Oreochromis niloticus: one gene and its partners. The protein of the gene in region 1 interacts with the protein of each later gene in a pairwise test. Links are inferred from orthologs where the notes say so. Each region holds a gene or a part of one and is shown on either strand. Other genes may lie near its edges. The genes, in order: ccndbp1, ccdc146 and lg6h22orf23.

Region 1 (3,755 bases):
AGTTTGCCTAAGAGAGTTTAGGCTGTGCTAAAGAATAAAAGGGGTCATACCAAATATTGACTTTGATGCTTGTTAGAATTATACAAACTGTTTATGCCTCATTAACTGCATTGCCGTCTATAATTGCACATTTCAATAAGTTGTTCCAATTTTCCAAAATAACTCGGGGGTGAGTGAAGACTTTTGTTAGTACTACCGTAGTAAACACAGAAGCGCATCGGACTGAAGTAAACGGATAAGCCCACAGACGGGCACTTGCTCTGGCTTTTGGAGTCTGGATTAGACTGATTAGTGTATTGTGATATTCTGGCATTGTGAAATGCTCCAAAAACCTGAATGCAGTGCAACGTATTCACCTCGCTCATCTGAATACAACATTACTGTTCTGCTGTTCACAGGGTTTTACCTTGGCTCTTAGGTAGCCAGTAATACACTGTAGACAGTGTGAGGATGCTCTTCATGATGGAATCTGCCAGCTTCTCTCCATCCTGGAGATTGTGGAGGAAAAACAGACAGAAAACAAATGATGTGCTGGTCTTTAGAAGGTTTATGTGGAAATTCAAGATCCTGAGAAACATGACAATAATTTATGGCTCTAAGTAAGAGTTCAGCTCACATCATCATCATCATTATTTCTTATTTTTACACTATACCAGACTTCAAAACAATCTGTTTATCAGCTCAGTGAGAAACCTTCATGATTACAGAAATAATCTGACCTGCTGTGATGGCAGAGGAGGTTTGGAGAAGGCCAGGCTGAGTTTAGTGGCTTCCTGGGACACTGCCTTCACTGCCTGATCTGCTGACACGAGGACAGTTGCATCATGTAACAACAAGACGATGAAGGAAGGAATTCTCCTAATGCTTTTTTTCTTTCTTTTTTTTTTTAATATCAAATAAGTCATTGCAAAAACATTATAAAAACAATGCAAATACATTTCTTAGAAAACATTCACTGTAACGAGACAGGAACATCAGCCAGTTGTCAAAGGACGTTCGATGCAAAAGTCTAGGAGCTGAAACAGCAGCAAGAGATCATGATACTCAACTCAAAGTGTCCCAGAAATTGGAGAGGTTGAATGCTCCATCGGACTCGTTTGATTCTCCATCTGCGAAGAAAAAAAAAGTTCTAAATTCTTGGTTCTAGTTCTTAAGCTAAACTGCAGAGGATTCGTCTTTTTTTGGCTGCTCAGTGGATCATCTGTCTCCATCTCATCCTGTCCCTGCGTGCTCTTCTGTCATACCAGACCTTGGCATGTCTTCCTTCACTACATCCATGAATCTTCTCTGTGGTCTTCATCCTTTTCTCCTGCCTGGCAGGTCCATATACAACACCCTTTGCCTAGGATATTCCATATCCCTCCTCTGCACATGTTCAAAGCATCTCTGCCTTGCCTCACTAACTTTGTTTCCAAACTGCTCAGTCTGACCTGTCCATCTGATGTACTCATTTCTAATCTTGTCCATGCTGATAACTCCAAAGAAATTCTTAAACTCTGCCACCTCCAGCTCCACCTCCTGTTTTTGCCCACTTTAGTCCCACTGTCTCCAATCCATACATCATAGCAGATCAAACTACGATCTTGTAAACCTCCCCTTTCACTCTTGCTGCTATCCCTCTCTCTCAAAAAAAAAAAAAAAATCACCCCTGACACCTCGTCTCCAGCCTGCTTGCAATCTCTTCTTGTGCACTGTCTGTTGCTTTGGATGGTTGACCCCCAGGCATTTAAACTCCTCTAACCTTCACTACCCTTACTCCTTGCAATTTCAAGGAATTTAAATTACAATAATTTAATCTTTAAATAATCTAATTTCAATTTCTGAAATAGGAGAATTAGCTTCTATTTGCTGTTTAAAATCACTGTAAAATGGATAAGCGGTCAGAAAATAGGATTTGAAGACAGCTCCATGGCACAAAAAAATTATTTCTTTCTTACAATCTTTAACATTTAAGGGTTTCTTGGGTTAAAGGTGTCAGTTTTGATCAGACTCATCTTCTCAAGTGTTAACAGAACTCAGTGCATTTCTGTGTCATTTCTGGACAAAAAAAACAAAACATATTTGGGCTTTTATATACTAGGTTTTCTTCAGACGGAAGACCAAAACCTCCCATCAACTACAATTAGCTAGCCACTATTTTGGACATAATGAAATGTCTGAATATTTTGATGACGACAACACAGTAGTCGTTTTGGATTTTTGGCAGTAACTGAAGGGCCACTTAGGGCTGAGTGGCGCTTTAGTTCCTGTTTGTATGTTTGTCTTGATAAACATTTTTTTTCGTATTAAAATGTCTGATATTGTCCACTTTATCTTTTTCGTATTTCAGCTTTACACTCTTTTGTAAAAGCAAACCTTTAAGTATTGTTATATCCTGCACAATCAGTTGTTTTTGTTCACAAAACTGACTCATGAAAATACCGAGTAACACTGAGGTCTAATGTCCCATTTAGGTCAGTGAAGATGAGGACAACATGAAATAACTGAAAAAGCAAGACAAAAAGCCCCAACCTCCATTTTCTACAAAACCTGGGAATAAAAACCTGAATAAAAGCGAACAGGAATTAGCAGTTAAATGTAGCTGGGTCACGTAATAAAGTGCCAAATGTCTTTATCGCTGTATGTTAAATTAGCTAAATCCCCGTCTTTGTCTGCTAACAAACAGACGTCAAAGTCGTTAACTGCTGCTAAACACACGAATCGAGTTTAACAAACAGTTAAACTCGTAAATCTACAACAGTTAACATGAAGAAAGTTTATACCAATGTTAGCACATATATTAGCACGTTTAGCTAGCTTGACATAAGCTTTTATGGTTAAGCAGTTTCATTTGTGACAACACAGACAGATAATGTGGCACAGTTACCTCTGACTCGGTCTCGGATGCAGTTGATGGAGTTAACCAGATTCCGTAAAGCTACTTTTCCACCACAACTATCAGCACTCATGTCGCCAGAGTTTGTGGATCGTGTTACATGCGTGTTGTGGAACTACATAAGGGGAGCCCGTTGATAGAGGGACAAAAATAAACGAAACAACGGCGCCGCCGGACGTTCCTGCTGACCCGGCTGCCATTCAGCCAGGAGCGCAGCAGAGGGCGCCAACGAGCTAGTCTTCAAAAACTATTAAACAAGCGCGCATACCTGCCTCAAACCAAACAAACAAAGACGTCACAACTCTTTAGTTCACAGTTGTGCAAGATTTTTGCTTTATTTATCTATAAATCCTCAGCAGGGAGGAATTATTCTACACAAATTCTTTTGTAGGTCTGCGTGTTATAAAGGCATACACCGTTGATCATATAACAACCCCAGTAATGATCTCTTTATTAAAAATCAAAGTATATTAACACCACATCATCAAGTGAAAAACAATACAAATTGTAAGTACACATTAAACACATTAAGTAAACAAACTGTCATTCACTATTAATGCAGTGATATAAAGAAGTTATCTGTAAGCACAAGATACTGGATTTTTATGTTTTTTGATGGGTTTTGCTTGCACATATAAAACCAATTAATCAGGGGATTAAAGACTGAATGATTAAAGTTAATTTAATAAACTCAATCTCAAATTTGAAGACATTCATTTGGCTGCTTGATGAAAAAGAAGACTCCGGTCCCGAATCCTATCAGGCACAAAACGACACTCACACCGAAAAACACGGCTTCAGGGCTCACTCTGCTCATCTTGTTTTCCTTCAACTCTGAAAAAAAAAAAAAACATCTTTTATTTGTGTAGTTTGAAAATGA
Region 2 (3,755 bases), on another chromosome or scaffold:
GTACAATACTGCTATCTAATGCTAGGAAACTGTATAGCACCATTTATTTCATTTTATACACACTGTAAATGGGAAGGATTGGGGAAAGAAATGCTTCATTATGAGGATGTGTACAGTATTTATTTTACTTTGAGAGGTATGATAGCTTTTATATGATACAATGGTCATGCAGTACAGAGTTTAATGATTGATGACATTTGAGTAATGAGAAGGACTGGGCATAATTGTGATCATTCATAGTAAATATCTGCGTAAAATTGAAATTCTTTGTGTGTATCAGATTGATCTTTTCTATCATTCATATTCAGCTCTTGTGCCAAAAGATATGCAATTTTTATATTGGGGAAAAAAATAAAATTAATATTCCATGGCTGTGTTGCAGATTTCAATGTTCCATCGGTTTAAAATCCTTTTCATGCCTGCTCCACTTGTGTACTGGAATCGCCTTTCAAATGAATGTATACAAAAACTGTATACAAGTTTCGCATGAGTGTCTTTGAAAGTGTCTGCCGTCTAGTGTCCGAGGCTGAATGAGGCTTGTAAAAATGCAGGATGAGGTGCTGCATGCCCATAACAAATGGGTTTACGAGGTGTTGAACCAATAAAGCCACTAAATAAAAGGCAGATTTCATATCGGCTTCACAGAAGATGATAAAACTGTGGGACTGTGACTTTACTGTCTGTTTACTGTCTGTGATGATAAAGTTAATAAAAGTGTTGTGCTCATTCACAGGATGACTTCAAGTCCTAAATATTCACTTTTTTTTTTTTTACACTTAATGTTTATGACAAACACTTTATCGCACATTATGTATGTGCAATACTTTGATATCAGCAATTAAACTGCAAAAGAATGGAGGAAATAATAGTCCTGAACATTAGCCTTGTGCAAATACATGCATCTATATCATATCTGATACTATTTTCTTTTCTTCTGAGTTATGGGAGTTAAATCTCTCACTATAACTATCAAATAGGGATGTTTATCTTTCTGAAAACAATTTAAAAATGCCATTCACAAAATAATAACAACACAACAATGCACATGACTGTTACCTCATCTAAACACTGGGAGGCAGGACTAGCAGAGACTTCACTGGAGGTTGAGGGCTGCTTTTCTGGGAGTGACGCATCGGGTGCAACGGCCACTAGAGGGGCGTCCTCCTCCATTCCCTTATCCTCATCTTGCTCTTCCACTTCAACTTCTGCACTCTGAGGCCTGCATTCTGTCTCCTCCTCGGATGGATTCACTAATGATTGGATCAAAACATAATAATATTTAGGACAGAAACACACTAAACAAACATTAGTATCCCACAAGCTGCGTGGGACAGGAATCCGAAAATATCTAAATGTTTGTTACACCAAAGTCCTGGCACACAGTTTCAACATTTAATGCCCTTCCCTATGCTTGCTTACCAATAAATAAAACATAATATGACTAAAGGTGGGCAGCACAGCGGTGCAATGGCTAGCACTGTTGTCTCACAGCAAACAGGTCCTGAGTTTGACTCCACTATCTGGCTGGGGCCTTTCTGTGTGGTTTTTATATGTTTTCACCCCGTGTTTGCTTGAGTTCTCTCCGGGTACTCCGACTTCCTTCCACAGTTCAAACACATGCAATTAATGGGGTTAGGTTAATTGGTAATTCTAAATTGCCCATAGGTGTGAATGGTTGTCTATATCTGTGTGTTAGTCCTGCGACACACTGGCGGCCTGTCCAGGGTGTACCCCGCCTCTTGCCCTATGATAGCTGGCATTGGCTCCAGCCCCACTGGGACGCTCAGAAGGATCAGCGGAAGAGGATGGAGGGATGAATAGAAGTATTGTATGTGCGGAATACACCGAATTAGCCATGCAAAAGCCTGCTTTTATTCTGAAGGATTACGCTTCCGCCGGAAATCAAAATCAATAAATATTTTTTTAAACGTAGATCCCACAAAGTAATTTGTGAGCACTGTCCTTAAACATATTCAAAACATTTTAAGATGATGTATATTATTTGACCTCTAAACGTCACACAGAAAGCGTACTTTCTCGAAAAACGCAAAAAGACCAAATTATGACAGCTTATCGGCTATAACTGGTGCTAAGCGACTCCAGCTTAGTTTCTGCTTCTAAATTCTGTTAAAGCACACGAGAAGGCCATAAAAATAGAAAAAATGGGCTAATGTGATACAAAAAGGTGTATACGACATAACAATACAGCAACGAGTGTGTTGTTCAATTAAAGCATGCAGAAACTTACTTATTAGCCAGTTTACTTGCTGTGTCCGGTTTTTTGGTGTTTGTTAGATAAACTAGGAAACACATTCCTTACTCTTATATCTCTGGAGTCTTCACAGGCCTTTTTAAAATATATATATTTAAATAATTTCACAGCCAATCTCAGCAAAACCCAATCACCGACTTTTCACTTTCGTGGTGTGTTGTGGTTACCATAACAACGACGCTATACGTCCACTTTAATATAAGGAGAAAGCCTCGAATTTCACCTCTACTGAAAAGTAATGCGCAAGCTATGGTTATTTTTTCTACTTATCTACCGTTTTCTCCTGTTTTATTAATACACAAAAATCCCAACGGACCTCATTCAATCCGAGAATTAAAAAAAACAACAACTCATTTTACACTTGCAGCGCATGTCCAGCAGATGGCGTTAAATTACAGGTTAATTAAGCCTTTTTATCTCTAGCGCGTAATCGCCGTGTGTAATGAAATTGGCTCCATGGAACAACATCAGTGGCCAGCTGGCTGAACACCCTGAACTGGTGAGTGTTGAAAACCTTAAAATGATATCCAGGGTGAAAGATGGCAGTGATTCAAAGCCATTGTTCTCCTGTGGTGTTGAAAATTTTTTCCCCACATTGTACTGTGGGAGGTGGCATGACCCGTAACTTATTCCCGGCAACAGCTGCTGAGATGTGTTGTCTCAGCAGTATATGTATGTGCGTGTGCATGCTGGTATGTGATCCGTTAAAGATGTTCCATTAGGAAAGGATGTGATATTACTACAAAAGTTGTGAGTTTACTGGCACCAGGAAAGAGAAACCTTCTTGGACTTCATTTCTTTAGGGGCTTGGCAATCCTCAAACATTTGTTATTTGTTGAATTTTATTTTACACTTACTTGGCATGTCCAACATGTCCATTGGCTACACACACACACCACAAACAAACAAAAACCAATTCATCTTCTAAGTGTGAGTTCTTTTTTTGTCTAGAAAAGTCATAAATTTGGAATAGTAATGCAGTCATGTGCATTCACAATGCCATGTGTACACCCAGTGGAGATGCAAAGCCCTGACAACACACATATATACCTTATTAGGTAAATGTTGCTAGTAGGGTTGGACATCATTTTGCTTTCAGATTCAATGCAGGAAACATTCCTTTAGAGATTTTGGTCCATATTCACATGATAGCATTATGTACATGCTGTAGATTTGTGGGCTGTACATTCATAATGCTAATCTCAAATCTCAAAGGTGCTCTATTCGATTGAGGTCTGGTGACTGTGGAGACCATTTGAGTACAGCGAACTTATTGTCATGTTCAAGGCCCCAGTTTAAAAATGATCTGAGTGTCAGACAGACAGCAGCAATTCAAAAGAGAACCCAAACGCAGATTCAGTAGACTGTTTCTTTCTTATTCACAACACTTTATTGAACACAGGGATCATTGGAGTTAAAACAGGGCAGTGAGAGGCTTCACAGGAGCGCGATCCACTATTGCAGAGGCAGTGATGAATCATTT
Region 3 (3,755 bases), on another chromosome or scaffold:
TTCCAAGCATCTACACCAGTGGTGTCCAAACCCAGGTCTCGAGGCCCGGTGTCCTGCAGGTTTTAGATGTGTCCTTGATCCATCACAGCTGATTTAAATGGCTAAATTACCTCCTCAACATGTCTTGAAGTTCTCCAGAGTCCTGGTAATGAACTAATCATTTGATTTAAGTGTGTAGACCCAGGGTGAGATCTAAAACATGCAGGACACTGGCCCTCGAGGCCTGGAGTTGGCCAAGCCTGATCTACACAGACAGCATGCTAACACAAAGCTAGCCAAGAACCCAGCACAGCCCCGGCACAGCAGCCAGACCCTGAACTTCAACAGGTAACAGATGAGCAGTCAGGCTGCAGCCCCTATTTCTACCTGGTCATGTTTCTAAAGTAGAATCACTTTGGCAGGTTTTCATTTTCGCTTTGTGCTGTTGGCTTTGTGTTCCAACCTAAATACTAAGAGAAAGATGATGTGTGTGTCCTCATCAGGATAGGGATTTGTGTTGCTGTGAGGGACTGTAGTGTTAAATGGTAATTATGAGACACTGAATTTCAGCTATTTTACAGAGTAAGATGAAAGTAATGAAACAAGTAGCATAATGAATTCCTTACTGCTTGGAGTAATTATGTAACATAACTTTAAGAAAACAAACATTTAAGAAAAATGTTCTGTACAATATATTACCTTTTTTGAGTAATGGTGGACCTGTTGTGATCACCCCAATGGTGATCACAATAAAGAGGGGAAATACCTCCAACATGAACAAACATTTGACCCACAACATGCCATTAATTTGCATGAATGTAATGTCTTTGACATGCTGCTTAGCAATGGTGGCCATCGTCAAAGTGGAGCCAATGAGAATCAATAAGAGAATCGATAAGGAATCGATACTGGAATTGATAATAGAATCGAAATCACTAAATTCTTATCACTTCTCATTGGCTCTGCTCATTTCATTTCTGACCTCATTCTGACCAAAATTTAAAATAATGCATTGAGTGTATCTGCAAGTAGTCTCCAAAATGCTCATCTCAAGCTCTGGCTGTGTGCACAGAAGCCCCGCCGACGTGCTGTTCAAACCTTCTGTTTTTTGGAAGGCACCCAATCAGAAAAAACAAGAGCAAAACAGGTTATAGTAGACCATGATAAACTGGGAGGACTGCACCAAGACCAAGCATAAGGTAAATAAGGTTTATTTTGAACTTTTGGTCATACAAAGCCACCAAGAATATAGTTATGGAGCTGGAAATGAGCATATTAGGTCCCTTTTAAGGACTTTCTAGCTCTTAGATGGCATCGTTTACTATTAACTTCATGTAGCTATTTCAGGCTCTGATTAAGGCATTTATGTGTTGATGCATGTACTAGCTAGTTAACGTCTCTGCTCAACATTCATTATGTTGTCCCCGATTAGCAGGATTAAGAACCCAGTCTTAGCCATGATAGCACATCAAAGTGGAGCTAGCTGCAGCAGCTCAGTCGTAATCTCTAGTACAGATCAAACTCTAAAACTAACCGTTGCCTTGGTTGGGCTCCTTGTAGTCCTGCAGAACATTTGTATGATTGCATAACTGGTCTCATGAGAGGTAAAGATATAACTGTTACTATTCACATACCAGAAAATCCAGAACATGAGGGTTAAATTAACTGTACGTCAGACTTCCATATTATTAAAGAGGAATTTCGTGGATTTTATTGAGTCTGTCGAAGGACTCAGTATTTCCAGGTAAATTTATAAAAAGTTACAAACAGGCTTTTGTACAAAATTACATCACTTCAGTATCATGCTCTGGAAGTTAAACCCATTTACAAAGTGGAAACTTGCAATTACAATAATTGATTTTAAAATGAATATCTCTCATTTTAAAATATGTTCATGCACCAAATCCGCTTTAGTGCTTTTCCCTGTTTTTTGGTTTGTTTTTGTTTTTCGAGGTTTTACCAAAGCCTCGGAATCTCTCTGATCTTTTATGCAACTAAAAATACTGTCAATATTAATGCTTTGTTGTGGATCACATTAGGTCAGCAGTGTTTTTTCTTAAAACTGCACTGCAGATTCATTGCTGAATGTGTATGCTTAAGCATGTGTTGTAGATGCTGGTAAGTGTGTGAGGTTGTGAGTCTGTTTGTCTTCCCTGAGGTTATGCGGTACACAACATTGTATGTATTTGTTAGATGGAGGGAGAGGAAGCGTCTTAATGTGATGATGAACTCCATCATCTGACATAATCAGGATGAATCAGTGCACCGTGTTACATAAGCCGATCCCCATCCTTACCTCACCCTTACCCAGATTAGAAACACAGCAGACACAGCCGCCTACAGCCTGCTGATACCTGCCTGCAGCCTGGAGGAGCGATGTGATAACAGAACACTGACATCTAGAGGTCAAATGCTGATATTAACCTTAGTGCTTTCTCACTCTTGGAAAATGGAAAACGTGTTTTTACTCTCTTTGATAACCCCAAATGACTTGTAACGGACAATTCTTCCTAATCTTGCTGTAAGGAAAACAATATTTAAGGGCAGGGTGTAAAACATTCAGCCCACGGACGAGAACCGGCCCACTGGAAGGTCCAGTTTGACATACTGAATGACTGAAAAATGCAGTTTTGCAGTACTGACACGGACATCAATTGTAGCCTGTTGTGCAAAAAGAGTAGTAAAGTAACTAATAAACCATTAATTGAAAAAAAAAAAATCCATTGCTGACAAATATCATAGTATTTCTTAATAATTTTGAAGTCCCAGCTTTATGGTTTTGTGATTTTTTTTTATTTTATTTTTTTTGAATCAGGCTCGACTGGCAAACAGTTTTACAGAATTAAAAGTCTTTATTGTTGAAATTAAGACAATATTAACAATTCTTAACATAACAATGCTAACAACGCTCTTTTGAAATAAAAATATTTTACAAATAATATAGTATCTTCTGCTGATGTAAAAGATCGTGACAATAAATATGTTATTTTTAATGACAATAGAGAGCTCAGAAAAATGCTGATTATTTACAGCTTTAGCAAATGCTTATACTTAAATAAAAATATGTAAAAAAACAAAAACAAAAACAAAACAAAAACCATATTAGTTTGCTTTACATATAATTTAAGGCATAATTCTATTACCATTTTGGACACACCAGCTCATGGGTATGGGTCAGTATTTCTCTTTCTGACTGCATGATGTTTAACTGTTGTGCCACAACAGTTTTGTGGTCCTTTTAAACTGTGAACCCAGTGTAATAGATTTTTAGTTATAAGATACTTTGTAAGGATATAAAATCATACTGCAGTGCAGTATTCTTTCTTTCCTTTGCACAAAAGGGGGGGGGGGGGATTTTTTTTTAAAAAAGGGGGGACATTGATATTTGCACTTGGCCAAAATCTGCCAAATATCAGTACTTCATCTTACTTTGCCTGTAAGGGAAACAGAATTTAGCATGGCTAATAAGCACTCGTGGCTTTGTTCAGTAAGCTTAATAACTTAATGAAACTTAAAAGAGTCTGTTTAATATATAAAGTCTTACACTCCCTTGCTCCACCACCACTAAAGCAGTTCATTAGGCATAAAGAAAGCTCAGACAGGACCACTCGAGCTACAACCCGAGGAGACTTGTTTATACCTCACAGACGGACAGCATTTGGGCAGAATGTCCTCTCTGTCCAGGGTGGCCATCTGTGGAACAGTCTTCCTCAACCCATTAGAGAATGCTCGACTTTCAATTTGTTTAAGGCAAAGCTTAAAAACTGGTTATGGAC

What was found.
Region 2: the proteins of ccndbp1 (region 1) and ccdc146 interact in binary tests that used the Homo sapiens proteins (3 or more experiments, as listed by UniProt). The two-hybrid records come from large-scale screens. The link is inferred for Oreochromis niloticus from reciprocal best matches to the Homo sapiens genes CCNDBP1 and CCDC146.
Region 3: the proteins of ccndbp1 (region 1) and lg6h22orf23 interact in binary tests that used the Homo sapiens proteins (3 or more experiments, as listed by UniProt). The two-hybrid records come from large-scale screens. The link is inferred for Oreochromis niloticus from reciprocal best matches to the Homo sapiens genes CCNDBP1 and C22orf23.

Annotation. Positions count from the first base shown.
Region 1 is NC_031970.2:14,580,948-14,584,702, forward strand, and holds the start of ccndbp1 (cyclin-D1-binding protein 1 homolog), read right to left. Parts: upstream 3,028-3,755; 5' UTR 2,949-3,027; coding exon 2,867-2,948; intron 1,110-2,866; coding exon 1,050-1,109; intron 800-1,049; coding exon 720-799; intron 489-719; coding exon 407-488; intron 1-406. Other genes in the region: H-2 class II histocompatibility antigen, A-U alpha chain, read right to left, coding at 3,573-3,709. UniProt on the Homo sapiens protein: May negatively regulate cell cycle progression. May act at least in part via inhibition of the cyclin-D1/CDK4 complex, thereby preventing phosphorylation of RB1 and blocking E2F-dependent transcription.
Region 2 is NC_031981.2:8,530,989-8,534,743, reverse strand, and holds the start of ccdc146 (coiled-coil domain-containing protein 146), read right to left. Parts: upstream 2,436-3,755; 5' UTR 2,250-2,435; coding exon 2,249-2,249; intron 1,570-2,248; exon of another isoform or gene 1,420-1,569; intron 1,251-1,419; coding exon 1,057-1,250; intron 731-1,056; exon of another isoform or gene 1-730. UniProt on the Homo sapiens protein: Essential for sperm flagellum biogenesis and male fertility.
Region 3 is NC_031971.2:34,108,845-34,112,599, reverse strand, and holds the start of lg6h22orf23 (UPF0193 protein EVG1), read left to right. Parts: upstream 1-1,061; 5' UTR 1,062-1,178; intron 1,179-3,755.